Oryctolagus cuniculus: one gene and its partners. The protein of the gene in region 4 purifies or fractionates together with the protein of the main gene of each other region. This does not show direct contact. Links are inferred from orthologs where the notes say so. Each region holds a gene or a part of one and is shown on either strand. Other genes may lie near its edges. The genes, in order: STRN, MOB-like protein phocein, STK24, SLMAP, STK4, STK3 and STRIP1.

Region 1 (3,695 bases), on a different chromosome or scaffold from region 4:
GCTGAGAACTTTACTAAACTAATGAAAATACGTAAAGCCATGAAGATCTAAGAGCTTCAAGAAGTTTAAACAAAAAATCAAACTTCGTCTGACAATAAAGTCATAAATAAAATCAGAGAAAAGAATCAGACCATTAAAGGACCAACAACAGAAATGATACTTGACTTAAGCAGAAAACAACAAAAGCAAAAATACGATGCTCAATATTTACAATTAAAACTGAACAAGCTATATACTTATGAAAACATTTTAAAAAATACTTACATCATAAGTTAGTGAATCTGCTTCATTGGCCACTGTAAGGCCTGCTAATTCTCCAAGTCCCAGTTCACTTTCAAGGGCTTCATCAGCTCCCATGATGAATGACTTCCCAGAAGAAGGAGGAAATGTTAATGCTTCCACTGAAAGGAAACATAACATACCTCTGAAGAGCCAATAATTAGTCTAATTTGCTTCTATCAATTTTCTTGAAAGGGTATGTATACATTTAATTATTGTAAAGTGCTTTTAAACACAATAAAATTCAGTGAGCAGAAAACCCTGAGGAATTTATTGCTTTATCCATACCTTAACCACAGCTGAAGGGATTAACTAATTAGAAGAGTAAAACAGGCCGGCGCCGTGGCTCACTAGGCTAATCCTCCACCTTGTGGCACCGGCACACCAGGTTCTAGTCCCGGTCGGGGCACCGGATTCTGTCCCAGTTGCCCCTCTTCCAGGCCAGCTCTCTGCTGTGGCCAGGGAGTACAGTGGAGGATGGCCCAAGTACTTGGGCCCTGCACCCCATGGGAGACCAGGAGAAGTACCTGGCTCCTGCCATCGGATCAGCGCAGTGCGCCGGCCGCAGCACACCGGCCGCGGCGGCCACTGGAGGGTGAACCAACGGCAAAGGAAGACCTTTCTCCCTGTCTCTCTCTCTCACTGTCCACTCTGCCTGTCAAAAAAAAAAAAAAAAAAAAAGAGTAAACATAAAACAAATCTAATAATCAACTGTTCTTCCCTTTTCACAATATAGAAAATATACAGGGGCTGGTGCTGTGGCATAGCAGGTAAAGCCTCTGCCTACAGTGCCAGCATGCCACATGGGCACCGGTTCAAGTTCCAGCTGCTCCACTTCCCATCCAGCTGTCTGCTATGGCCTGGGAAAGCAGTGGAGGATGGCCCAAATCACGTAGTAAACAGTATTCTGCCTCTCTTACAAGAATTCTAATTTATGTATGATACAGGATGGAATCTCTGATAAAAACTCTTTTTGAGAATAAGAGAAAAACTATTTTCCTCCATATCTAAGACCTAATCTTCAAGTAAATGAAACTGAGTAAGTCTTGTTTCCATAATGTCAGTGGAACAAATCTACTAGTGAACAGATCTACTGAGGACCACGATTTCAAATTTGTAATTCAAAAGACATGAATCTACCTCAAATAAATTGCACATCTAGAGTATGACACAATGATTCTTTACACGAGTAATAAATTACAACTATGCTAAATTACTCATGGGCCAAAAATTGCACTGAAAAACTATTCAAACATGAAAATTCGCAATCTTTTCACTTTATGTCTCTTTAACAATGCACCTGAATTCAAAAAAAAAAGAAAAATACAATTTTTATTCTGTGGCTTTTTCTCAGGCTGTTTTGTTCCATAAATATTCATTTGAATGGACATATAAATTGTAAGAAATTATAGTATTTAAGATCAAGGAAATTTTTAAAATAAAATTTGAAAAATTTTTATTAACAAAAATTATGTTTATGTGATCCTGGATTATCAGCTAATAGAAATGTATACTCTGAAATCAATTTTCACATATAAGCATTTTATACATTTATAATAGAACTTGTATCTAAAAGAAATATATAAGCATAAGATTATACTGTAAAAAACTGGGCACAACCTAAATACTGATCTCATATTAACTCTAAATAAATAATCTTAAAATTATAATAATAAAGTTATTGGTATGATCTTATATTAAGCAAATAAAGTAAGAAAGAATTACTCTACATGAAGACTAACCTATGTAAAACTATATGCATGTGGGTCAGGACTGAAAGGGAATGAGAAAAAGCAGAAAGTAGAAGATGTGATTAGACCTTCAGGTGACTTTTCCCCATTTCCATTTATCAGTGATAAGCTGCTTAAATATTTTTGAGTCTCCAAGTAATAACACTAATTTTCCCTTATCTTAAAGACTGAAGTTGAAATCAAACTCCCTTGAATGCAACAAAGCTTGCATTTAAGGAATTCCATATAGATCAACTATTTGCAGAATAAAATTCTCTCAAAGGTAAGAGTCCTTTCTAACATCTTAACTGAGAGAGATTCATCAAGTGCTTTCTGTGGCCCAAAATATCTGAAATACTTGCCTTCATCTGCCCTATTAATTTCATGTTCAGGAAGTCTGGAACTACTGGGTCTGGAAGGTGAACCGACAGATGGCTGCAATGAAGGAAGTTCATCAACATCTCTCAAATTAGCAAGCATATCTTGTAGTTTTGACCTATTGGGCCCTATCAAAAAAAAAAAAAAAAAAAAAAAGGTAGGGGGAGAGGAAAATAAAAAAGAGGAAACAGAATTATTCCACTGCATCAAAAAGGTACCATAAATCTTATTTCACATCCGTTGACATTCATCTTTAAAAATATTCTACTGGATTAATTATTTTCAAAGTTTTCAAATTATTTTAAAAATGTACTATTCCTGAAAACAATTGCATTTTACATGTATTTTTATAAGTGAATGCAATATCACATTTGCATAAACATGTATATCATGTCCATCTGGATCATTACAAGTAATATTAGTTTATAATCCAACCATTGTCTATCACGTTAAATGATGACAGATACCACAGATTATGAACCTACAGAGTACTAAATTAAACAATGACATCCCTATTTAAATTAAGACGCATTCAGTGCCTTCCATCTTGAAGCTATCATCCTGAGGTGAAGTCTTAGGCCCTGTCAGTTACTTACCTGAGCTTTGATTCTTCATTCTCCCACATCCCTGTTTTGACTGTTTTATATAGCATAGAGGCTGAAACAGATCTTCGGTAGTTTTTCCTGTTATAAGTTTAATTAAGAATGGGAAAATCTTACCCATAGTCCATTATGGTTTTTCTCCTATACCACCAAAGAATATAACTATTTTAAAGCAATTTTAACTAATACCTACAAATGTATTTCAAGACAGTATGACTAGAGGACACAATTTGACTGGAAATATTTCAACTTGATTATATTAAAAAGACTCGAACTTTCCTAGTGATTAATAATTCAATTTAAAAATTTATATAGTAGTTTGTAAACTAATGCTTCATGTATCTATTCAAAGCTTTGCTTTAGTTTTATTTTTATAAGCCTTCAGTTGTTCTCAACTGGTATCTTTTATCAATATAATGTGAACTTAAGATGATAAATGTGGCCAACGTCAGTCTACAGTCTAACTTCAGTGTACTATACTATAAAAACTATATACTATAGGCCTGAAAATGGACCATAATCCCCAGATTCAGAAAATCCAACTGCTTCCACTGGCAAGAATACTGTTCCAGTCAAATGGTGCAGTTTTACACCTCATGTGCTAAATTCCAACTACAGCAATACCTTGATATTTGATAAACACCAAATAATCAATGTAAGAGTCGATGGATTCTACACAAGTCCTGGCTACCCTTTTCTATCAGTA
Region 2 (4,122 bases), on a different chromosome or scaffold from region 4:
TTTTGGAAAGACACGCTCATTTCAGAATAATACAGTTGACAACACTTGCTAACATTTTCAAGGGTCTGATGCTAGCAGAGTTGTTCAGGAGAGTTTCTGATAGACTGTGCTTACTCTTCTAAGTCTTTGTACATGTGTCCAAATAAAGCCATTATTGCAAAAAGCCAGCCAACTTCTCAGGGAAGCAGTAAATGGCTTTTCTCTTTGCAGCCAACATGCAAATTTTGAAGCTCACTGAAAGGGTAGTCTCAGGCTTCACACAAGAGAAAATACAGGAAGACCGAGTCCTGCCAATGTAATTACCAGAGAGAAAGAGCTGACATGCCAGTACTAACAGCCATGGCCAAGGACACTGGTAAGAATTGCCATCATGGGGCTGGCGTTGTGGCATAGCAGGTTAAGCCACCACGTGCAATGCCGGCATCCCATTATGGCACTGATTGGAGTCCTGGCTTCTCCACTTCTGACCCAGATCCCTGCTAGTGTGCCTGGGAAAGCAGTGGAGAATGGCCCAAGTGCTTGAGTCCCTGCACTCATGAGGGAGACCGAGTTCCTGGCTCTTGACTTCAGCCTGGCCCAGCACCAGCCTTGCACCCATCTGGGGAGTGAACTAGTAGATGGGAGATCTCTTTCTCTCCCATCTCTCCCTCTCTCTCTTTCTGCAACTCTACTTTTCAAGGAAATAAAATAAACTGCATCATGAAGACAGGGAACATCAGAACTAATGGTCAAAGGCTAGTGTTCTTTAGGATTTCTTGGGATATTTCAGAGATTTTGGAGCAAGAGAGAGAGGGAAAGGGAGGGAAGGAGGAAGGCAATATCACTATGTTCATAGAATTGTATCTACATGTTACATTGACTGCTTATAACTAATTGAAAATCAAAATTAAAAAATAAAATTTTTAAAAACACATTTACTGTTCTCACTTTTATATATATAATACACACACACACACACACACATATATATATAATTTTCATTTGTTTCTCACTCGGCAACCATTCCTCCTGGTGGCTCTACCTTAGCAAGAATATCCAGATTCTTTTTTGTCTTCCTCTCTCCCTCCCCTCCTGCATCCCTCCCTCACTTCCTCTGTGTGTATCCAGATTCTAATGGTATGACTACAGCATTCCTGTGGCAGCCAAGCACCATCATATCTCCTACCAGGTTGCTCTGCACCCATGCGTGCCTCCCTGGGGTCAGTTCTCAACATAAGTCCAGAGTGATGCATGGTCACAGGAGTTCAAAAACTCACAGATGAATAGAAATTTTCTTAAAAGGCAGGGTGGAGATTCTGGCACTATGGTCATGGCGGAGGGGACGGCAGTGTTGAGGCGGAACAGGCCGGGCACCAAGGCGCAGGATTTCTATAATTGGCCTGATGAATCCTTTGATGAAATGGACAGTACACTTGCTGTTCAGCAGTATATTCAGCAGAACATAAGAGCAGATTGCTCCAATATTGATAAAATTCTTGAACCACCTGAAGGCCAAGATGAAGGTGTATGGAAGTATGAACATTTAAGGCAATTCTGTCTTGAGCTAAATGGACTTGCTGTCAAACTTCAGAGTGAATGCCATCCAGATACTTGTACTCAAATGACAGCAACTGAACAGTGGATTTTTCTGTGTGCAGCTCATAAAACTCCAAAAGAGTGTCCTGCTATAGACTATACTAGACACACGCTTGATGGTGCTGCATGTCTTCTGAATAGCAATAAATATTTTCCTAGCAGGGTTAGCATAAAGGAATCATCTGTAGCAAAACTAGGATCAGTATGCCGTAGGATTTATAGAATATTTTCGCATGCTTATTTTCATCACCGGCAGATATTTGATGAATATGAAAATGAAACCTTTTTGTGTCATCGGTTTACTAAATTTGTGATGAAATACAATTTGATGTCCAAGGATAACCTGATTGTACCAATTTTAGAAGAGGAAGTTCAGAATTCAGTTTCTGGAGAAAGTGAAGCATGAAGGGAATCGTACAGAAAAATGTACTGATCACATAATTAACGTTCATTATGTACTGTATATATCATTTTAGACACATCAATCATGTATTCATATTATAGCTTCTTTGTTTAGATTAGGTTTTTGTATGCTGTGTGTTGCCTTTTAAAAGGGGAAATACTTTTTAAGTTATTCATAAGCTGTATATTCACCGGTGTGGCACTCATGGTTTTTTAAATAAGATTAGTATTATCTGTTTATAATGCCTGTTAATAAAAGAATTTACAGTTTGGTAAAATTGCTGCTAAACAATCATTGGATTACAATCCTCATCAAATAAACCCATATATAAAAAGATGAGTAAGCTTGAGGTCTTGCACAAACCATTTACTAAAGAGATAGTAATGTTTTCCTTTCATTTTGTCCCTGAATTTAGATATTATAGAAAATTCTATAGAACATAAACTGTAAACTTTTCCAAAATGAGATAAAAGTACTTTAAAATTCTGTTTATAGTTTTTGATATGCATTTATGATTATGTGTATATCCAAATATAAATGCAAATGAAGCATTAGTAATTCTTATATAATCTTACTATGCTATATAAAGTATATTCTAGGCCAGCATACTTGGAAAGGATATACCTTTTTACAGCAGTGGACTGTTACATATAAGTTGATGCTAATGATAAGGCACATAAAAGGTATTCCCACTGGAAAACTGTTCACCCCCTTCTCACTTCCCATAATCCTGTCCCCAGATACTTTAGCTGAGAAGTCTTTCACCAGACTGTGACTTAGTGGTGACTTATACCTGTTTATACTCATGTTTGTATTAATTGCTTACAGATTTACCTCATATTAGCAATTATATTACACTACAAGAAAGATGTGTTGGCATAGGCTCTTTGTTTTGTGAAAATTTTCTAACTACTTGGAAGACAGACCTTAAAGCCATTTGATTCTTCCTCTCAGTAATATTAATCTTTTCATCTTACTCTAGGCAGCATTAGAGTTAAAGAAATATTGTAGTATTTATTTTGTACCCTTTCTCCACAAAATTTGAATTAAATACATATGTGAGGTTATTTGCAATAATTGATGCAAGGGTGTTGATGAATGGCCATACATTTTTTAGACTTTGTTGTAGCATATAAGAATTTGGGTGCAGATGTAACGATCTTATAATCTATTGAATGCAGTTTTTCATGGAGTACTAGAGAGGTCTTATTGCCAAATTGATTGTAATGAGGCACTAAGATAGGGTAGAAAAATTATACATGTAGTGAAGAAAATACTTAAACTCATCTCTAAGACATATTTAACAAATGTGAGAAAATTTTTCATTTAAAATAGTTATTTTGAAATGAAGATGAAAATGTATTCATCTTGATTGTCTTCAAAGAAATTATTTATACCATATTATGAGACAAGTATGCAAAGAAAAAAATATGAGAAATAGTAGCATACTGAGAGTGTGTGTATATAGTTTATGCCTTTCCAAGGCTGCCAATCGTTTTGGCTTTGAACAGTACTGTCCCAGCAGCCACAGTCCTTATTGTACCCCAACTCACAGCTATCTTTTAGAAGTTTTATGTTCACGGTGAAAGGAATGTTGAGTTTGAAATTATACGTTTTTTTTTTTTAATGTCACTATAAACTAATGGAATAGTAATTTTTAAGCAAACTTGCTGAATATTGAGAGAATAACCTACTAAGTTAAATTATAGATAGCAATGTAGCTCTTCTCTCTTGATGGTTTCTCATAATGGCTTTCTGTTACTTGACTATTTTCTTGGTGAACATTAGAACTAAAATAGTGACTGGAATTGGTTATCTGGCTAAGGATTTTGAAACACATTTTGAATAATATGACTTAGTGTTTAATGGGGAAATAAAATGATATTTTTTCGTATTCATTCCATCTTCCCTGTACTGTGTTTGGAATTGATCATAAAAGAAAAAAAAAAACTCCAAAAGAAAAAAAAAAAAAAAAAAAGGCAGGGTGGAGGGGGCAAGTGTTTAGTGCTGCAGTTATGTTGCCATTTGGGATGCCAGCATCCAGTACTGGAGTGCTTGCTTTGAATCCTAGTTACTCTGCTTCTGATCTGGCTTCCTGCTAATCTGCACCATGGGAACCAGCAGGTAATGGCTTAAGTACTTGG
Region 3 (3,345 bases), on a different chromosome or scaffold from region 4:
AGCAACACACTCTCCAGAGACACAAAACGCTGTCCAGTCTCCTGTCCCAGCCACATTCTAGCCACAGGCCAGGGTGAGCACCTTGGTTCTATCCCCGACCAAAACGCATCCCTCAGACACTAACCGTTCCAGCCAAGCTCACTTCCGAGAACATCCTGAGAGTTTGAAAACACAACTGGCACCAGTCAGAACAGCCAGCATCCCTCCAACACTCCCGGCTCGGCCTCTGCCCCTCTCCCCGGAATGGCCAGCCAGAGACTCGCCCTGAGGGTCACCCGCTCACTGCCTGCCTTGCTCCCCCAAGAACCGCCACTCCCAACAATTGGCAGCATCAACACACGTCCACAGGGCAGGAGAAATCGCCGTCCCAGAAACCCACAGGGTGCCTCCAGGCGAGCGCCACGCCATGTCCTCCAGGGCCCGTCTCGAGCTGCAGGGGGCGGGCACGGACACTGGCCCCTCTGCCGTCCTGGCACACATGCAGCCACACATACATACACGGCACGGCCGCCCTGGGCTCCGCAGAGCCGCGTCCCAAGGAGAGTATGCAAGGTAAGTGTGTTATAAAATTTATTCGTGTAAGCATTCAGACGTTTTAGGTGGCAGAAATGATATGCAGATTCCACTACAAGGTGCAACAGAAAATCGTACTGGGAGAAGACGGTACATCCGGCGCACACCGGCAGTGGCACGACTCCAAACAAAGGCTGGCCCAGGGCGCGGCATCCGGGAGAAACGTGAAACAATAACTTAAAGCTCCATGAGACAAGATATGTTCCGATTTAAAACACCAAGAAATAGTACCATCAATGGGACAGGAAACCAACATCTAAGTGTACCAAGGGGATGGCGCCTGTGCTGAGGTACAGAGAGGAGCGGGAGTTATTACTCATGGCAAACCCTGCAAGTACAAAATAAAACCCAAGTCACTGCTCACATAATTCAAAATTTACATGTAATAAAGGCAAGGCAATAGACTCAAGTTATGGCCTGTCAAATATTTACTCCACTGACATTATCTACAGAAGCACTTGGCCAGTTTGTACACAGTGATTCCTTATGCACGCCAAAAGGGTTTCCGTAAAAATGACACTATATACAGATCTGTACACCGACCCGCCAGAGCGATTCTGCGTCTCCCGGGGGAGCTGTCAGCTTGAAGCAGGATACCTGAGGTTTCGCGTCTGCATTGCCTGATCGGAATCCCAAATATACACTTCCGGTTTGTGTGAGTTTTAAAGACACTCTCCTTGAATATGTGCACTATGGTGAAAAGTAAAAACAGGAATAATAAAACAATCGCTTGCAGGCGCAGGCACAGCCCCACCCCATCCGTCCCGGAGACTTCATCTGGCCGCGGCACGGCGAGGGCCGCCACGTGTCCCGCGCCGGGCGCCGGCGGCCGGGGGGACGGCCCCTGGGCCGCGCACCTGTTCAGCAGTCAGCAAAGGCTCTCCTTGACTCTTAAGGAGGAGGATGAAGAAGAAAGAAAAACACAAAACCCAAAATGCCAAGGCGTCTCAGTGCGACGAGGTTCCTCCGCCACTCAGAGAGTACCTGGGGAGAAGAGAAGAGGAGCCGAGTGAGTGCCGCCTCCAGGCCCCACGGGAAGACTCGAACCAACGGCAACAGCAACCCAAGCTGCAGGAACGTAAATGGAGCCAACATGAACAGCGTCATCAGTCTACCATCCAAACGACGCGTGACGATGACAGGCATCACGGCTGCAACACAGACGCCTGCACAGGGCACAACAGCACGGCAGGACGTGCTCGGCCTGGCCGCAGGGACGCCGGGAGTGAAGCCGGAAGTGACTCCCCACAGACTCGGCAACCTCCAACAGCTAATGGGGAAGCCCCAGCCACACAGCCGCCCGGGCCGCACGCACGTGGCGGGGGCGTGAGCGCAGGCAACCATTTCCAGTCACAAAAGCTCCGACCTCATCCAAGCAGCCCACTCTGTAGCCACGTGTGGAGACAGACCGCTCTCGAGATGTTTCAAAATTTACTATGATCACAAGAAAAAAGTTTTATGCCCAACAACAAAGAAACAGGTGAGTAAATTATGCAAGCTGGATGAAACAGACTAAGATTCTAATGACCTGTACTTCTAAGTGAGATGAAGAATCTACACCAGTTAGCAAGTATGCACAGGATTACCTGTGTCCTGGGCAACGCACAATGTCCCAGGCCACGTCTAACAAGGCCTCTGTGCACTCACAACCCTGGTACGTGCTCACGGCTCGCATGTGACAAGGGAAGGCAGTGCAGCAGGTGACGGGGTCGGGGGCCAGGGGTCACGCAGTCTCCACTCTATGATGCTGTCACCCTTTACGGTGCAGAACCTGGCCAAGGATGTATTGGTGACTTTCCTCAAACTTTCCAGCCCTCGGCGCTGTCCCAGACCACTCATGGTTACGTAAAGTCTCTTAACAGCAAGTGCTAGCCACAGACCCTGACTCTAGCTTCCAGAACTTAAAAAATGAGATCATGGGACGAGCTGACAACACGAGAGAATTCAGCGAACCCCAACTGAGATGGAGACAGGCTCTGGAGCGCTTCACGCACAGTCGCTCCCAGTCTGAGGGGATCCCCCAGGGTTAAGGCCAGAAGCGGGAGTGAGGCCGAGCAGCAGGCGGCTGCTGGCTCTCTGTGCCGCAGCCTGCGTGTTGCTGGACAGTGGTCGCTCGCAGGGCTACGCACGCTACCTCTCCGAATAGTAACTGGGCACACACTCAGGAGTGGGCAGACACGTGGCCATCAGCCCATACTTCTGTGGCAAGAGCTGCAACGTGCAGGGTCCCGTGGCCCTGCAGCTGGTTTCTGGCGTCCTGTCACTCACGCCTACTGATTTGCACAGAATTCCAGACACGTCTGCCCTAACTTGCTCCTACTTTCGCCTTGTGGCCTGGAACAAGAGAGGCAGGTACGAGGAGGAGGCGCCAAGGGACAGGCAGCGTGGCGAGCACATCACCTCTGCAGCCGCTGCACGAGCTGGGCCACCATGGTGTCGGAGATCCCGGGGCAGGCCTCCTCCGCCAGGTAGATGGCCCCACGCAGCTCCTCGATGGAACCCACGCTCCCTCCGCACGCCTGGCTCTTCTCCTTCAGCTGCAACACAGGAGCACAGGGCACTGAGTGCGCGGGTCCCGGCCGAGAGCAGCGAGAGGGAGGGGCAGGGCAGGGCAGGGCAGGGCAGCAGGCAGCACAGAGACCAGCGGCTTCCTGTGCCTCCTCCAGATCTGACCGTGAGGCTGTGCCTGCTGGCTCCTTCTGCCGTTACAGAAAAGCAACGTCAAGTGCAGCAGGAGTCACACTGGCTTCGGGGAGGAGGGCAGCCCGGTGG
Region 4 (3,695 bases):
TAAATGCCCTTGATAATGCATACTTCCTAAATCTGGAAAGAGATGTAACACAATGCCTGATAACCCCTTGGTATATAAAAAAAAGGCGTCTGAGTCTCAGGACTTTCAGTTATGTTACCAGAATATAATTAATTTTTATGACTGAGAGGGAATTGTTCCATGAATGTTATTACAGAGTACTATTTTAGTACTTTAAGTTCAATATCACAAAGGAAATTCACACTACGGTAGACTCTTTTTTTATAACTACAAATAATAATAGTACTCCTACTTTTAAAAAGGTTCTAAATAGTACAGAGGATTTTTATTATGCCACGTTTTCATAGGTTTACTTAACAGGAAGTAGACTGAAATTCCATAATCAGAGGGATATGAATTAATACAAAAGAAGAAGTAATCAAACTATTAAGATCTGGTTTTTAGAAGAGTTCAATAATCTATCTGTTAAAATGTAGATTTATTCTTAAAAAATGCAATCTATTTTCACTTAGCATAAAGCTTCCATATATAATAATTCACCATTGTTTAAAAGGTTTCTACCTAAGCAGCAAAGCTTTATTGTTTACAAACTAAGACTTTCTTAAGCCAAGGACAGTTGGACACAATTCCTGAGCATTCTGTGTGCAACTGCGTAACTGGATGGCCATGCAACATCAATCTTATACACGTGCTGCAAGTTAGGCAGAGTGCCTTCCTCCGTAGGAAGCATGTGGCTCAAACCCACTGCAGTGTTCAAGCCGTGACAAGGATTTGAAATAAGTCAGAGCACAACCAACCACACAGAACATTCACCAGTTAGGGCCCACAAAGGCAATGATCACCAAAACATACAACACAACATTTATTTAGTATAACATCTTTTTACAGACCACTGCCTTTCTAACAAGTGGAAATAAATGCTATTAAACTCAATTTATACCAGTACCAGAACGTCCTAAACTTTTTTCCTTCCTTCCTCCATTCCTTTCTTTCTTCCTTTCCATTTCTCTCTCCATCTCTCTCTCTTTCTCAAGAAGCCCTAAAGAAACTCACCAAGTATTTCCTCTTATTTACAGGATGCCAAAGAAAACACTAAGCTTTTTAGGATGTGCCTCAGTGAGAACATTATTGGTATAAAATGAAAACCATAAATAAGGCTCCATTGTTTTTGACACAACCAAATGCTAAGGGTCAACATGTAATACTTTTCCTTAAATGGATCCCTGGTGGTACAGTGCTTCATTTTCCAGCAGAGGAGGAACAAGAGCCAGATGATGGCTTAGTGACAGAACTTCAGACTTAAGTGGGAAAAGCTGACAGTTCTTAGGTAAGCTGTTTGATTGCAAACAGGGCTCTTCGTCCAGGCAGTACTCAGGCTCTTCTAGGGGTACAGGTTAAAAGGGCAAATTCCTACTAAAAAATATTGACAATACAATGGTTCCGTTGTGGAATTTCATAATGAAAAGCTTATTTCATTTGTACCCCAGGCCATTAGCTTCCCAAATCAGTAATAAAGTCCACTGAAAATCAATTTCCAGTTTCTCACCTGCCTTTCAGTCAAAGCTAAGCCAAGTTTGCAAAGACTTACATTATTATTTCCTTTCTCTTGGAGCAGCTTCAGGTTGTCTTTACATTGTTTGAGCTCATCTGTGATTGATTGCTTTTCCTGCTCAGTCATTTCAAACTTCAACTTCAGTTCTGAGAGTACAGTCTGTGTCTTTTCATACTAAAGGCAAAGAAAAAAGAGTGTGCAGACTCAACTTAAAATGGGTATGAAGTTATGGTTTTATTCAGGCTTATATACCAGACCCTATTTAGTCAACTGCAACATCAAAGTTAAGGCTTTTTGTTTTAAGCAAGCTAAGAATCTTGCGTGCTCATGTTTTAATGTTGACGTGAATCTATTTAAGAAGTTTCTGGCCCTGAAGTTAAAAAAGAATTAACAGGAGTCACCATTTTGTCATCTGTTTCTAATATAAAAGGTCACATTTTCCACTAAGTAAGTTATAGGAGAAAAGCAAAATGTTAAACTGAGCAAAAGAAAAGCAAGTAAAGAAAAATTCCATAGCCTAATTAAATGGCAGTATTAGGAAGCTTGGGTTTACATCCTGGACAAAGTCAGCCAAGCTATTTTAGTCTCAAAGTAAAAAGACATTAACTCCCAACAGGCTTTTCTTTATCCAGCATTCCAGCATCACTGGGCACTAATGTGTTCTGATTGAGTTTTCTAGCCAAATGAAGCAAAGAAATGTATCAAAAATACTTACCACTATGATTGGAAAATTTTGATCTCTCTACTTAAAAGCATCAATTAAAATAATTTTAGGGGTGAGCATTTGGCATAGCAGTTAAGATACCATCTGGGACACCCACGTACCATATTGAGTACCTGGGTTCAAGTCCTGGCTCCTCTCCTGATTACAGCTTCTACTAATGCACACCATGGGAGTACCAAGTCATCACACAAGTAGTTGGGTTCCTGCCACCCCTGTGAGAGACCTAGATTGAGTTCCAGCCACTGTGGGAATTTGGGGAATGAACTAGAGGATGGGAAATATTTTTCTTTCTCTCTCGAATAAATAAAATAAATAAATCTAAAAATATTTTTAGAAATCTGTGAAAAGTTTTACTATAGTGAAATTTGCTACTTCCTGCCCTGGAAAATGGTTCACTGTATATAATTTGACCTTCAGATAAACTAGCTCTCCCTTGAGCATAGGCAAGACCAATGTGAAATGTGGTGTGACCCACCCCTACTTTAAATGGCCCCAGAAGGCTGGAATTCTAGACAGGTTCCACTTTCAGACATCTTCCTTGCAAGCTGGACTTCCAGTCAAAGAGCAGAACCTGTTCTGCTGATAGATGTGCCTCTGTCCCTGACTCTGCTGCCCCACCCTATCAAATATGAAGCTTTTAGAAGCAAGGCATAAAGTACTGAATAGAAAATAAATATACCATGGATGTGTCATATCAGAAAGGTTCCACTTCTTCCTTCAATATAGCCTACAAGGCTATTATATTATATATAAGTTTCTAAATCCTAATCTACGTACATCCTAGAAATTCTTCAATAAAGGAATATTTATAATAGTGCTTCTGAATAATATAAGTATCTTGAATTGACTAATAAGGAGTTCACCATTATGCTCAATAAAGATGAATATGCAGGTGGGCATTTGGCCTAGTGGTTAAGATAGTTTGGGAAGCCTTCATTTCATATTGGAGGCCCTGAGTATGAGACCCAGATTTGCTCTGAATTCCAGCTTACTTCTAGTGGGAGGCAGGAGATAAACCTCCCTGCCACTCATATGGGAGACCTGGATTAAGCTCCTGGATCTTGGCCTTGGCCTGGACCAGCCCCAGCTCTTGCTGGATTTGGGGGAATGAAGCAGTGGATGGGAACTCTCTCAATGTCTCTCAAATAAAGAAAAAATTTAAAAGATTAATATTGAGGGGGACCAGTGCTGTGGCACAGCAGGTTAAAGCCCTGGCCTGAAGTGCTGGCATCCCATATGGGTGCCAGTTCGAGACCCAGCTGCTCCACTTCCATCCAGCTCTCTGCTACAGCCTGGGAAAGCAGAAGACGGCCCAAGTCCTTGGGCCCCTGCATCCACATGGGAGACCCAGAAGAAGCTCCTGGCTCCTGGCTTCGGATCGTTATGGCTATCTGGGGAGTGAACCAGTGGATGGAAGACCTCTCTCTCTGTCTCTACCTC
Region 5 (4,406 bases), on a different chromosome or scaffold from region 4:
ACTTCAACAAATTCATGAATAATGAAACTAAAAGATAAGTCTACTGTGGTGCAAAAACATTGAGCCCCAAGCAGTTCTTCCCACAAGATGTCTGAAGTATCCTTGTATAATCCGTTTCCTTGTAAGACAAGACCAGATCACAGCAGCAGAGGGAAGACCACGTGAAGACACAGGGAGGAGACAGTCATCTGCAAGTCAAAGACAGAGACCTCAAAAGAAACCACCCAAGGCTGGCACTAAGGCCACCTGTGACACCAGCATCCCATGTGGGCTCTGGTCCACGTCCCTGCTATTCCACTTCCGATTCAGCTCCCTGCTAATGGCCAGGGAAAAGCAGCAGAGGGTGATACAAGTATATGGGCCCCGAACACCCATGTGGGAGACCTGGATTGAGCTCCTGGCTCCTGGCTTCAACCTGGTCTTACCCTGGCTGTTGCAGCCATCTGGGGAGTGAACCAGCAGATAGACAACTGATCAAGATATCTCTCTCTCTCTCCCTGTAACTCTTTCAAATAAAATAAATTAATTTAAAAAAAAAAAAAAAGAAACCATCTTGCCAAAACCTTGACTTCTGAGTTCTAGCCTCCAGAACTATGAGAAAATAACTTTCTGCTGCTTAAAACAGCTCGTCCATGATACCTCATAAAAGGCAGTCCTAAAAAACTAAACAAAAATCTATTAACCTGCTGCAAATTAGGAAGTCCAAGTCATGAGCAGGAGACACAGTCATTCAAGAACTCAGTCCTGCAATGCTCTCTTCTTGCACTTTTAGTACATTTTTTAAATCCAAAAGGTACAAGAATAAGCATGTTGGCCGGCGCGAGGCTCAACAGGCTAATCCTCCACCTTGCGGCACCAGCACACCAAGTTCTAGTCCCGGTCGGGGCGTCGGATTCTGTCCCGGTTGCCCCTTTTCCAGGCCAGCTCTCTGCTGTGGCCAGGGAGTGCAGTGGAGGATGGCCCAAGTGCTTGGGCCCTGCACCCATGGGAGACCAGGAGAAGCACCTGGCTCCTGGCTTCGGATCGGCGTGATGCGCCGGCCACGGCAGCCATTGGAAGGTGAACCAAGGGCAAAAGAAGACCTTTCTCTCTGTCTCTCTCTCTCACTGTCCACTCTGCCTGTCAAAAAAAAAAAAAAAAAAAAAAAAAAAAAAAAAAAAAAAACAGAGAGAGAGAGAGAGAATAAGCATGTCAAAAAGCAAAAAGATTTACTCCTCTGCCCGAAGATTATATAATCAAAGGCACAGGGAGAAGCAAAACTCAAGATCCCTAATCCTCTTTTCAATTAAACAAAGGTCTCAGAGAAGGAATCCAAGGAGAAGGAACGAATGTATTTCAGAAAGGAGCGTAAGTAGTGCACATTTGTAAGTGGCTCACTATGGTGCTGGAGTGAGCACCTGTTAACACACACAAGGACCTGTGACACAGGGGTGCTTCCAGTGAGGCACTTTAACAGCAGACTTTGGACCAAACCGCCTGGATACCAGGATCCCAGCTCTGCCTCTTACGATAAGGGGCCTCGGGCAAATCACCAGCATCTCTATGCCTCCGTTGTATTATCTGTAAAACAGGCATGTAGGAAAACCTGCCTCATGGGACTGTGAAGATCCAACCTGTCACTAAGAAACTGAACCACATGAAATTACCATTTTCATGTTCAAAAATGATCAGAATCAAACGGAAAGCACTTAAAACGGCGCCGGGCACCCCCTGAGCGCTGGGCGCAATACTAGGCACTGCTATTACAATCTCAGCATAGGACACTCAGGGGATCACCAGCCCCTCCGAGCCGCCTACTTGCCTTCTAGATGCGGGCCCCCAAGGGCGCTGCCCGGGCTGTCCGTCCCTTCCCTTCTTCACCTCTCGGTTGCCCCACACTCTCACACACGGAGCACTTCCTACTTTAGCGCTCATTCTGCTACAGGAAGTCAGATGTCTCGGTGAAACAAGCGAGCGCCACGGGCACCCCAGAGAAGCAGACTCTGGGTCTCTGCCCCCCGCTTCTCGCCAGATGGGGCGGGACGGCCTAAGACCCGGGTATCCACAAGGGAAATCAGCCCTACACGTGCACCCAGCGCCAGCCACCTCCCCGCTCTTGACCTAAAGCCATCCCAGGTAAAACCACAGAAGCTTCCAGTGACTCAGAGCAAAAACAGCGAACACACATGCGTCTCAACTCCTCTGGCTCTCAGTCTGCCCACCCTGGAAAATATCCTCTTACTTCCTTACCGACATGCTAACGCTGGATTTCGAAGGGCTTCAAAGGATGCGGGAAAAAAACTAAGAGGGCACTTTGGCTAGCATCCCGCCAGGGCGAGGGCACCACCGGGAGCCCCCAGGCGCTGCCGCCACGACCCCTCCCCGGCCACACTCGCAAAGCTTTCCGCCCAATGGCTCGCCCCCGGACTGCGCCCCTCCGGCGGGACTCAGGGCCCGGGCTTCCTCCCTGCTCCCTCTCGATCGAGCCTTTCAGCCAGACCCCTCGGAGGCCCTCCTGCTCCCAGGCGGGCATTCCCCGTCACCCCCGCGAGCCCCGTCTAGGACAGCTGTCCCGAGTGGTCCCTGGCCTCAGCCGGGGCTCCCCCTAACTTGCGCCGCGTTCCTCGGCAAAGTCCCGCACAGCGAGTGCTCCCCCCTCCCCGGCCAGCCCCCGTTTACCCGCTCCAGTGGGCGCTCCCTGAGTCGGACCCCCCCCCCCGCCAGACGTCCCCCTCCCACCCCAGCAGGTGCCCCATCAGCCGGGTCACCTCGCCCGCTGGTCCTTTCCCGCCCACACAGGGGTCTCCCCTCAGCCAGTTCCCGCCTTTTCCTCACTCGGTCGCCATGCCCCCCCGCCTGGCCCCTGGCCCCTCACCGGCGCGGCGGGTTCCTCAGCTGCACCGTCTCCATGGCGCTGCCGGCAGCCGCCCAGCCCCGCGCACTACTCCATCCTCCCCGGGACCTCTCCAGGCCCGCCCCGCAGACCCTCCCACACTTCCGCTTTCCGCCCCTACCGGAAGCAGCGCGCGGCTCGAGAGCGCGGGGGCGGCGCTGGGGACGCTGTGGGGGTCACGTGGTGCTGGACGTGAGTCACGTGTCGCGACGGGGCGCGAACCCGGAACCGCGAAGCTGCGGAGGCTCCTCCTGGCGGTGTGTGCTGTGTGGCTGCAAGCTGTGCGCGACGCTGGGTACTCGGGAAGCCACCTCGGCCTCGGATTGCCCCCGCATCTCTTGCCCGAGATACTGAGGCTGCCGGCGAGGCGCGGACTTGATTAGAACTGTTGATTCGTAAGCCCAGTTCTGAACGATTTGTCGGAGCCTATGCCGCTGCGGTGGCGCCTGGACGTCTTTGTACTGATCGTATCGGGTCCCAGATGGTCCCCTGCACATCCTCTCCTTGGCTGTGACAGAGCGCCAACCCACAGGTTGCTCCACCCTTTTTCTAAACAGCCTCACCTTTGGGTCTGCAGACATGAAAATGGCTACTGTTTATTTTTTAAATATCGTGGGAATTAGTAGAATGATTTTAAGGTTTATTCATTTGAAAGTCAGAGTTAGAGGAAGAGACCTTCCGTCTGTTGGGTCCCTCCCTAGACGGCTGCAACTGCCAGGGCTGGGTTAGGCCAAAGCCAGGAGCTTCTTCCAGGTCTAATACGGGAGTGCCAGGGGTCCAAACACTTGGGCCATCTTCTGCTGCTTTACCCAGGCCATTGTAGGGGAACTGGGTCAGAAGTGGAGCAGCGGGGACGCGAACTGGCTGGCTCCCATATGGGATGCTGGCTGTTGCAGGCCTCAGCTTTACCCGCTGTGCTACAACGGTAGCCCCCAAAATGGCTTTTATAGACACTTGGCTGACTTGATCTATTACCTCATTTAATCTGCATACGAAGCCTGAAAGGTTATCACCAGCATTATATTTATATCCTTATTTGACAGTGCTTACTACACTGTCAGTGTTACTAAGTAGTAACTCATTTAGTACTAACAGTCCTATAAATAATACTATTCCTATTTCATAAGAGCTGAGAGGTGAAATAGTTTCCCTCGGTGTCATACAGTTGTACAAGTTTGAGGATTTAAATCCACATGGATTTGACTCCAGAGGCTGCACACCAAACTGGGCAGCCAAGCTCATTTCTCGCTGGACCTGGAGACTGCTGTCTCCACTCGGAGCTCCAGTTCCCACTCTCACGATTGTGCAAGCTACCCCTTCAATAAGTGTTAGGAAAATGGCAGGTCCAGCAGAGAACTTAGACACAGAGCAACCTCTGTGATTGTCCTGCTTATCCCAGAATACAGCACCTACACCACACCTGAACAACTAGCTTTCAGGGCCACCCAAGCACGGCACCCCGTGTGCTCCCGGCAGGGGATAGGGCAGCGTTCCCCTGACCTAAGAGGAAGACATTTACTGAGAAGCTACCCTG
Region 6 (4,328 bases), on a different chromosome or scaffold from region 4:
GCACTGCTGCCTGTGACACCAGAATCCCATATGGGCACCAGTTCGAGTCACGGCTGCTCTATTTCCAATCCAGCTCCCTGCTAATGTGCCAGAGAAAGCAGCGGAAGATGACCCAAGTACTTGGGACCCTGCACCCACGTGGGAGACCCGGAAGAAGATCTTGCCTCCTGGTTTCTGCCTGGCTTAGTCCCAGCCATTGTGGCCATTTGGAGAGTGAACCAGCAGATGGAAGATCTCTCTGTATCTTCCTTTCTCTCTGTAACTTTGTCTTTCAAATAAATAAAAATAAATCTTTAAAAAATAAAAAAGAGGCCGGTGCCATGGCTCACTTGGCTAATCCTCCGCCTGTGGCACCGGCATCCCATATGAGCGCTGGGTTCTAGTCCCGGCTGTTCCTCTTCCAGGCCAGCTCTCTGCTGTGGCCAGGGAGGGCACTGGTGCCCGCACCCGCCTGGGAGACAAGGCGGAAGCACCTGGCTCCTGGCTTCGGATCAGCACAGCGTTGGCCGTAGCGGCCATTTAGAGAGTGAACCAACAGAAGGAAGACCTTTCTCTGTCTCTCTCTAACTCTGTCAAATAAAAAAAATTTTTCAAAAAATAAAAATAAAAAAGAACATACTAATATACTAAGAAATGGAGCCAGGATTACTATTTCTAACAATCACTAAATAAAAGAACGTATATATAGTCATGAACCTCATGTCTATGACAGATCACATATGAAGATGGTCCCAAAAGATGACATCACCTAGCCATATATCATCCATCACAGCTGTCTCAGTTTAATTAAGTATACTGTATGGTGTTCGCATGACTGTGTAATTGCCTGGTGACACATATCTCAGAACTATCCTTGTCATTAAGCAATGCTTGACTGTATAAATTTCCTAGTGAATATTATGATCTCAAAAATAGTAGCTATATTTTATTACTAGAAGGCAATGATCAAGGGAGTAACACAAATATACACTGTAATTCCTGCATAGCCTTCTTCCCCTGTGGAAACTCTCTCAATGTCCTCATCTATAAACCAGGATTAATGCCTCTAATCCAAATTCTCCACAGGGTTGGTGTGAGGATTAAATATTATGGATAGGAAAACGCCATGAAAAAATCTTGAGATATTTAAATATAAAGGATTCATTTCACGCATCTTTTGCTCTTCAGAAATGCCTTCCTGTATCAAAATAAGTCTCTCTGAAAAGAGCTAAAAATAAGTCTGCTAATGTGCAACCACCACTTTGAAAAGTATAAATCACCATGGCACCACCACCCACACCTCCCCCAGACTCTTCCAGATTGTCTAGTGTCTCTGCAAGGCCACAGATTCTCTTACACCTATAATGCAACCGGCAGAACTGACAGCAGAAATAATCAACAGACAGAGCCGATGCTTCCATTCAAACTCTTTCAAGTTGGCCTCTGGCATGATCTCAGAGGTGTCCCACTTACAGTCCTCCCAACACAGGAAAGAAAAAGGGCCCAATTCTCTCTGTAGTAGCAAAGGGAGTGCCCAGTGAGTACTAGAATACAGACACCCTAGAAAATTCTAGAAAATAATTTATCCGTTACCTTGGGCTCTCCTAGCTGATAGCCCTTTTGAAAAATCCCTCTAGGACACACCCATCCCCATCCCCACCCCCTGCACAGATGGTTTCCAGGCCACACAGGTCTCTAGTCTCACAACTCTCAACAGCTCCCAAAGCTCCCACCTTTTTAATTATTCCACCTTTCATCTAAAGATCTCTAGGCATCAAAGCACATGAACTCTTTAATCGACACAACAGCTCTCCCCAGGAGAGAGAGAAGTGCCCTTATTTTTTATAAATTAAAAAAAAAAAAAAAAAACAAGACTGAGGTTAAATGTGTTATCCAACGTCAATAAGCTGATTCGCTCTTAAGGTGAAAACGCACATTATGAACCTGCATCAATGAATAACCTTGATTTAGCTTCCTAAGATCACTGCAAATACTTAACACATCTACTCTGTACACATACATTGCTAATCTATCAAAGAGCAAATAACGATGAATACCATACCAAAGCATCACTATTTATACATGCAAAAGTCGATGGAGGAGGGTTCTAAGATTTCTACTGTCTTGCCTCCACAAATACTTCTGAACTTGAGGGGGAGGAGGAGGAACACCTGTCAGTGCGGCATACTCACAGTAAGTTTTACAAACTCTGTGGCTATTAATATTTAATTCCTTAACTGTAAATAAACAACCCGCCTTTTCCCAAAAAGGATGGGGGGGGGACAATATTATGAAAAATACTTTGACAAGAGAGCCTACGTGGTTGTAAATAATTGTACATAATTTCCTAGTTTTAGGGCTTCCAGGCTGCGTGAACTCGCCACGAGGGGAAAACCCTGCCCGGCCCCGGAGGTCAGGCCCGGGGGAGCCTGGCGCTGCCCACCCAACTCCCCACGCGCGCCAGGCCCTGCCGGCCCGGGGCGGGCTCCCACTCCCCTCAGGCCCAGTCGCCCCGCGGACAGATGGCGCCGGGCACTCGGACCTGCCTCCCGACCCTCGGCGCGCCAGGCTCGGGTCCCGGCAAGGCGGAGAGAGGGTCGCGGTAGAGCCCGGCCTAGCCGCCTCCGCCCTGCGGCCGCCGCTCCCCTCGGGCTGCCCGCTCCTAGTGCTCGTTACCTCTTGGGCGCCGGCGGCTGCTCCATGGCGGCCGGGGGCAGAAACAGGGACCCGATGGACCGCGAAGGCCAGAGGCAGGAATGGAGCCGGGGTGCCGGCAGACCGAGCCCCAGGGAACCACAGAGAAAAACTCCGGGAACTCGGACCAACTTTCCCGTAACTCCACGGCGGATCTCCCTCCCGCTCCGGAGCGCGGCTCCTCCCGGCCCGCCCCGCCCCTCGGCCGCCGGCAGCGGCCCTGAGACGGCGGGTAGAGCCCAGCGCCCTGGGTGGGCGGAGCCGGCCGCGGCCAGGCGGGGGTGGGCGGAGCCTGGCCCTGCGCTGGGTGGGCGTGGCCGGCCGCGGCTCAGCTCAGGGTGGGTGGGCGGAGCCAGGCGCCTTGGAGGTGGGGAGGAGGTGGAGACGAGGGCGGAGGAAGGGGCGGGCCGTTGCCTCGGAGAGGGAAAGACGGAGGTGGTAGTGGGCGAGCACCCGGATGAGGCCTTCGCGGGATCCCGGAGCCGGCCTAGGCAGGTGCGGGGCGCGTCCCTTTGAGCGGGGCCAGAGCTGCACCCCTCCTGCCTTTTCTGCACTTGCCCGCATCTGATTGGACTCATTTCTCTGGATTCCCAAGGGTGCATCCCAAAGGCCTTTGAAGTATTACTAACTGCCCACGCTTCCTTCTCTAGTTTTGTTTATAATTACTGGTTATGTTTTTTCCCAGCCATTTGACATTTGTAGCTTCAGTACTAAGGATACTTCTGGAAATTCTGGTTTGATTTTGACTGTGCGCCTCGCTACATTTCACAATAATTACGTCTAATTACAGAGAAAATAATTGCTGTAGTGAGAGCTCTCCCGGCACCAAGGTTCGGTGCACCGGGGTATTGCTCTCTGGCCGGATGGATAAGCTGGCAAGCTTATCACAACTTCTGGTGCCTAGAAAAGAAAGTGGCTTTCCTTCTTCTGGCCTTTCCCCCAAACCTGCTCCCAGCAGAGCTCACCCTATTGTAATTTGACGCCCTCATTCATCCATATTGTGTGTGTTGATTAAATTCGTGCATATGATTTTTCTAATGAGCACATACAGCCACGACATTACGAATTTGCTAGTTTTCGTTAGAAGTCGCCAAGATGTACAGTTGTACGGGGCTTTTTTGGTGGTTAGAACAATGAAAAAAGTGTTGAATAATATGAATATTAACCTAAATTGATCTTGTCTATTAGCAGTCTAGACAAGCTTAGTCTTCTTTTTGCATTATTTTAAGTTTCATTGTAATAAGCTTACTTTTTTTTTTTGTTTTTTTTTTTTTTGAGAGACAGAGATAGAAAGCGCCCGTCCCTGGTTCATTCCCCAAATGCCTACAACAGCTGGGGCTAGGCTGGTCGGATTTGTTTTTAAACCATTATATGCTCCCCTAATTTTGTTATTTTACATTCACAAAGATCTTGTATTATTGAAACAAAGTCAAATTCTGTGAAGAGAGATTAAACATTTTATGCATTTTTGCATTTATTAAAGATCCACAGTCTGCTCAGAAATAACAAGAAGAAGAACAACAATACACTAAATCACTAAGACGTTAAAACTGGAAAGAGCCTTTGAAATGAGCCCATTCTGGTGCTAGCGTTATGGCATAGCAGGTTAAGCCTCCCCTGGACATCAACATCAGCATCCCAAATGGGCGCCAGTT
Region 7 (4,237 bases), on a different chromosome or scaffold from region 4:
TCACTGATACAACTAAGGAAAAAATGATTCCAAAATGATACACATTGTAAATCTCCGTAAAGACCAATATGGAGAAAACTGCCCCCAGATGACAAAAGGACTGTGCTTTACCCGACAGCTCTGCGGCCCACTTGTCTGTGTCAGCATATTCAAACTCAAGGTCTGGTGACTCGGAGTAGCCCTGTTGACAAAAGGAGACAGCGTTACGCGTACTTTACAAAGCAGGAAACAGAAATGCACCCAGAGCCACCACTGTTCCCAGGAAACCACTGCCTCCCCTTTGCTTGCTGTTCGATCACCATATTTCGTCTCCTGGGCTAGCCCCGCGCTCCTCCCCACCAAGCCGTCTCAGAGCACCTTATCCTGTCCCTCCAGAGCGCCTGTAACTACTGCATGTGGGGTCCAGTTTCCACCTCGCCACGAGACTGCAAGGCCCTTGAAAGCAGGAAGTCAGTCCACGTTGATCAGCAGCGATTTCACAATGCCCAGCACAGTCCTCCACTGCTTTATATTCAAATCCCTCTCAAATGAACGAACACAAAGCTTCCAAGTACGTTGTGCCCTGAAGCCACTATTCCACAAAGTGCTAGGATTCCAGAATCTAGGCAGCTAGTGGGCTATCAACCCAGCATTCAAACTCTTAGTCTCTCGCCCTTGTCTCAAACTGCAGTGAGAACTGACAGAGAAGGCAGCAAACAGATGGGCCCGCCTCCCACACACAGGAGAATGCGACAGACCCTTTTCACTGCTGGGCACAGGTGATTACCCAGAACACACCGTCCTGTAGGCCTCGCGATAGCAGAGTGGTGAAGAGAGCGGTTCCCACCCTCAGTCTTAGGTAACATCTACAACAAGAGCTCTGCCCCTTATTCCGAGACAACACACGACCCCTCTCCCAAGTCACTGAGCTTCGCACTTTCCTTTTTAGAAGATTTACTTTACTTAGTCATTTGAAAGTCAGAGTTACAGAGAGAGAGAGAGAGACAGAGAACGAGAACTTTCACCCACTGCTTCACTCCCCAAATGACCACAACAGGCAGGGCTGGGCCAGGCGAAAGTCAGGCACTTCATCTGGGTCTCCCACACGGGTGCAGGACCCCAAACGCTTGGGCCATCTTCCGCTGCTTTCCCAGGCCATAGCAGAGAGCTGGGTCAGAAGTGGAGCAGCTGGGACTTGAACCAGTGCCCATATGGGATGTGGGCCTCGCAGGCGATGGCTTAACCCACCACGCCACAGTGCCAGCCCCAGTTTCTTCCTTTTTGGAATGGGGATGAGGAAAGTCTACCCTGCAGGTTTTTAAGAACCGATCAGGATTATGTAGCACAGAGCGCTCTCGGCAGAGATCAGCCTCCCTATCTCCCAGGCATAGATCCAGCTCCCAGCTACTGCCTTCCGCCTGACTCAGCCTCTGCACCTTAAGGAGACACCTGCAGACAGTCTCCTGGCCTCCCGTGGGTTCAGTCTCGGTGGAAATGAAAAGGTAGTAAGAGACGTGAAAATGCACCCAACGGTATTCAACTGGTCATGGCTACTCAGGAAAATGTAAAGCCATTTTCAAAAATAACCCCTCTCAGGATGAAGGTGGGCTTACGCCCCTCACTCTCACAACCTCCCCGTGCTTGAAAAAGTACTGAGTCGTCCTCCTGGATGTCCCACCACCCACGGGTCCCACAAACGTCGGTTTCCTTTGCTTTTCCAAAGAATTCACTTCCAGCTCCAACTCTGAGCTTGCCAGTGTTTTACACCAGAGGTCTGGGGTTGCAACAAAAGCACAGAAGACGGAGAGGAGCTGATCCTGCACGTCCAAAGCCAGTATCCCGGCTCTGCGGCGGGGAAGAGTGGGGACACTGCGCCTGGACAGCGATGGCTCCCTCTCACTCATCAGCGCCAGTCGGCGGAGCGGCCCGGGATTGCGTCAGGTGAAGGAGACTGCATAGTAAGAGCTCTGGCACGCGCTGATTACGATGCCCTACAACGCTGCGACGTGCGTCTTCATTCATGAATCTGCGCAGGGAAGCGGTAGGAGCAACGCCTTCTCTCGGGGCGAGGTGAGCAGTCAGCTGCTCCCCAGCCGGCGCCCCTGGAACTCGAGCGAAGCCTGGGTCCCCGGCACGAGTGCGTCTAATCCTTTAAGGGCCCCCAGCATCGGGCGCTCTGGGCACACCAAGCACTGCCAACCCATGGCCGGAGCCTGCACCAGAGGCAACGCCCCCTGCTCTCGAAAGCTCCGGCCTCGCTGTACTATGAGTGGTCATTAGCTCCATCCGCCTTCCAGGCGCCTTGTGTCTAAACCCTCGCCAGCCGCCTCCCTGCCCGCCCGCGCCGTCCGGTCGGCGCCCTCCACCGAGAGGATAAGAGACTGGGGGCGCCCGCTTTTCATCGGCGGCCGCGGCGGGGGCGGCTTGTCCGCGGGAGCCAGCGGGTGGATGCCGGCTCCGGGAGCCTGTCTCGGGCGGCGCTGCCAGCCTCACGCCCCCGGCCCGGGGAACTGCCACACCAGCCTCGCTGCCTGCTCCTTCGGCTGTAAAGTGACAGCTCCCCGGTCCCGCCCCGCCGAACCCCCCGGGAAGCCCAGCTCGGCCGCGAGCGCGAGCCCGGGCCCCCAGCCGCCGCCCGCCGGGTCCTAGCCTCGCCCCCAGAAGCTCCTGACCTCCGAGTCTTTGCGCTGGTTGCGGTTGAACTCGCGGGTTTTGCCTCCGGGCAAGAGGCCTCCGCCCGCTCGCGGTGCTCCAGGGGGAGGCTGCGCAGCCGCGGGCGGTGGAGGTGGCGGCGGCTGAGGCTGTTTGTTATTCACAATCAGAGGGCCTGGACCACCGGCTGCCGGCTCCATCTTGGCTGTTCCACACCCCCGGCTCAATTCACGAACAGTCCCCGGGATGCAAATCTCGCGTGACTTCCTCCAGGAACGCTCTCTCTGTTCGCCATATTGAGTGTGGCGGCAAGTGCGGGAAGCCATCTTGGCTGCCCGACATCTCGCGATATTTCTCCTGGCTGAAATACTGGTTTTCTTGGTCTTTTCAGTTTCTGCTCTTTCTCTCCAGTTCTACTCAGATGTCGTTCTGTGTGTGAGGCCTGCTCTATCTCGTTCAGTCTGTTTAGCGGCCCCCCTCTTTCCTCTAAAATCGATTTACACTTAGCAATGTCATAGCAGTGTTCAAAACTTAGGGATACCGTAGGGAACAAGATGGATAAGACCTTTTCATGGAGTTTGCACTCATTTGGGGTAGCCATGCACGACTAAATCAATCACAGTGTGGCACGTGCACTCATTGTCTGCTATGCTTAAGCAGTGAGATAGCACAGAGAAAACTCCCAGTCCATAAATGCCTAGTGGGCCAAACAATGAACAAAAAAGGGTGATATTAGAGAAATAAGGCTGTGAGGTATTCGAGGAAAAGGTATTCATGACACTTGTTAAAGATATCAGGGCAGAGCCGGCGCCGTGGCTCAATAGGCTAATCCTCCACCTTGCGGCGCCGGCACACCGGGTTCTAGTCCCGGTCAGGGCACCGGATTCTGTCCCGGTTGCCCCTCTTCCAGGCCAGCTCTCTGCTATGGCCAGGTAGTGCAGTGGAGGATGGCCCAGGTGCTTGGGCCCTGCACCCCATGGGAGACCAGGAAAAGCACCTGGCTCCTGGCTCCTGCCATCGGATCAGCGTGGTGCGCCGGCCGCAGTGCGCCGGCCGCGGCAGCCAGTGGAGGGTGAACCAACGGCAAAGGAAGACCTTTCTCTCTGTCTCTCTCTCTCACTGTCCACTCTGCCTGTCAAAAAAAAAAACAAAAAAACATTTAAAGATATCAGGGCAGAATTTGTTCAACAGGGCACAAGTATAGGGGCCACTGCAACTTTGGCTTGCCTTAAGGGAGAGATTGAACCTAACTTTGCCTCCAAAAAGGACAAGTGAGGATCCGTGGACCAAAAACTACTAGGAGGAAGCATCAAGGGTAAGGTTTCTGACTAAGCTGACTTGACAGGATTACTGCTGGGGGCAGCCAGAGTACTGAGACATCAAGAGTGGTCCCACATCAAGGGTGAGTTTTTTGTTAAACTGACTTTGCAGGATTCTTGCTCAAACTGGATTCAACAAGGACAGAGAAGGGAGCCCCAGTTCAGGCCTGGTCAGGCAGAAGACTCAGGAGCCTTAACAAAGTTTGATCCAAGGAGAGAAAAACAAGAGTAAGTATAAGGGATTATGAGGTGGCAAGTGGGGGCTGGCTAATGGGTTAAGCCACACC

Evidence for each region.
Region 1: the proteins of SLMAP (region 4) and STRN purify together in Homo sapiens (affinity purification with mass spectrometry; 5 studies listed by BioGRID and IntAct, with this or other methods). This does not show direct contact. The link is inferred for Oryctolagus cuniculus from reciprocal best matches to the Homo sapiens genes SLMAP and STRN.
Region 2: the proteins of SLMAP (region 4) and MOB-like protein phocein purify together in Homo sapiens (affinity purification with mass spectrometry; 3 studies listed by BioGRID and IntAct, with this or other methods). This does not show direct contact. The link is inferred for Oryctolagus cuniculus from reciprocal best matches to the Homo sapiens genes SLMAP and MOB4.
Region 3: the proteins of SLMAP (region 4) and STK24 purify together in Homo sapiens (affinity purification with mass spectrometry; 6 studies listed by BioGRID and IntAct, with this or other methods). This does not show direct contact. The link is inferred for Oryctolagus cuniculus from reciprocal best matches to the Homo sapiens genes SLMAP and STK24.
Region 5: the proteins of SLMAP (region 4) and STK4 purify together in Homo sapiens (co-immunoprecipitation; 3 studies listed by BioGRID and IntAct, with this or other methods). This does not show direct contact. The link is inferred for Oryctolagus cuniculus from reciprocal best matches to the Homo sapiens genes SLMAP and STK4.
Region 6: the proteins of SLMAP (region 4) and STK3 purify together in Homo sapiens (affinity purification with western blotting; 3 studies listed by BioGRID and IntAct, with this or other methods). This does not show direct contact. The link is inferred for Oryctolagus cuniculus from reciprocal best matches to the Homo sapiens genes SLMAP and STK3.
Region 7: the proteins of SLMAP (region 4) and STRIP1 purify together in Homo sapiens (affinity purification with mass spectrometry; 4 studies listed by BioGRID and IntAct, with this or other methods). This does not show direct contact. The link is inferred for Oryctolagus cuniculus from reciprocal best matches to the Homo sapiens genes SLMAP and STRIP1.

What each region holds. Positions count from the first base shown.
Region 1 is NC_091433.1:165,961,023-165,964,717, reverse strand, and holds part of STRN (striatin), read right to left. Parts: intron 3,071-3,695; coding exon 2,984-3,070; intron 2,516-2,983; coding exon 2,372-2,515; intron 402-2,371; coding exon 265-401; intron 1-264. UniProt on the Homo sapiens protein: Calmodulin-binding scaffolding protein which is the center of the striatin-interacting phosphatase and kinase (STRIPAK) complexes.
Region 2 is NC_091440.1:69,971,519-69,975,640, reverse strand, and holds MOB-like protein phocein, read left to right. Parts: upstream 1-1,293; 5' UTR 1,294-1,303; coding exon 1,304-1,981; 3' UTR 1,982-3,876; downstream 3,877-4,122.
Region 3 is NC_091440.1:14,087,962-14,091,306, reverse strand, and holds the end of STK24 (serine/threonine-protein kinase 24), read right to left. Parts: intron 3,111-3,345; coding exon 2,974-3,110; intron 1,558-2,973; coding exon 1,521-1,557; 3' UTR 558-1,520; downstream 1-557. UniProt on the Homo sapiens protein: Serine/threonine-protein kinase that acts on both serine and threonine residues and promotes apoptosis in response to stress stimuli and caspase activation.
Region 4 is NC_091441.1:92,023,728-92,027,422, forward strand, and holds part of SLMAP (sarcolemmal membrane-associated protein), read right to left. Parts: intron 1,706-3,695; coding exon 1,568-1,705; intron 1-1,567. UniProt on the Homo sapiens protein: Associates with the striatin-interacting phosphatase and kinase (STRIPAK) core complex, forming the extended (SIKE1:SLMAP)STRIPAK complex.
Region 5 is NC_091442.1:14,199,289-14,203,694, forward strand, and holds the start of STK4 (serine/threonine-protein kinase 4), read right to left. Parts: upstream 2,994-4,406; 5' UTR 2,890-2,993; coding exon 2,855-2,889; intron 1-2,854. UniProt on the Homo sapiens protein: Stress-activated, pro-apoptotic kinase which, following caspase-cleavage, enters the nucleus and induces chromatin condensation followed by internucleosomal DNA fragmentation.
Region 6 is NC_091437.1:124,350,014-124,354,341, forward strand, and holds the start of STK3 (serine/threonine-protein kinase 3), read right to left. Parts: upstream 2,942-4,328; 5' UTR 2,682-2,941; coding exon 2,656-2,681; intron 1-2,655. UniProt on the Homo sapiens protein: Stress-activated, pro-apoptotic kinase which, following caspase-cleavage, enters the nucleus and induces chromatin condensation followed by internucleosomal DNA fragmentation.
Region 7 is NC_091438.1:60,289,634-60,293,870, forward strand, and holds the start of STRIP1 (striatin-interacting protein 1), read right to left. Parts: upstream 2,873-4,237; 5' UTR 2,832-2,872; coding exon 2,652-2,831; intron 182-2,651; coding exon 112-181; intron 1-111. UniProt on the Homo sapiens protein: Plays a role in the regulation of cell morphology and cytoskeletal organization. Required in the cortical actin filament dynamics and cell shape. Part of the striatin-interacting phosphatase and kinase (STRIPAK) complexes.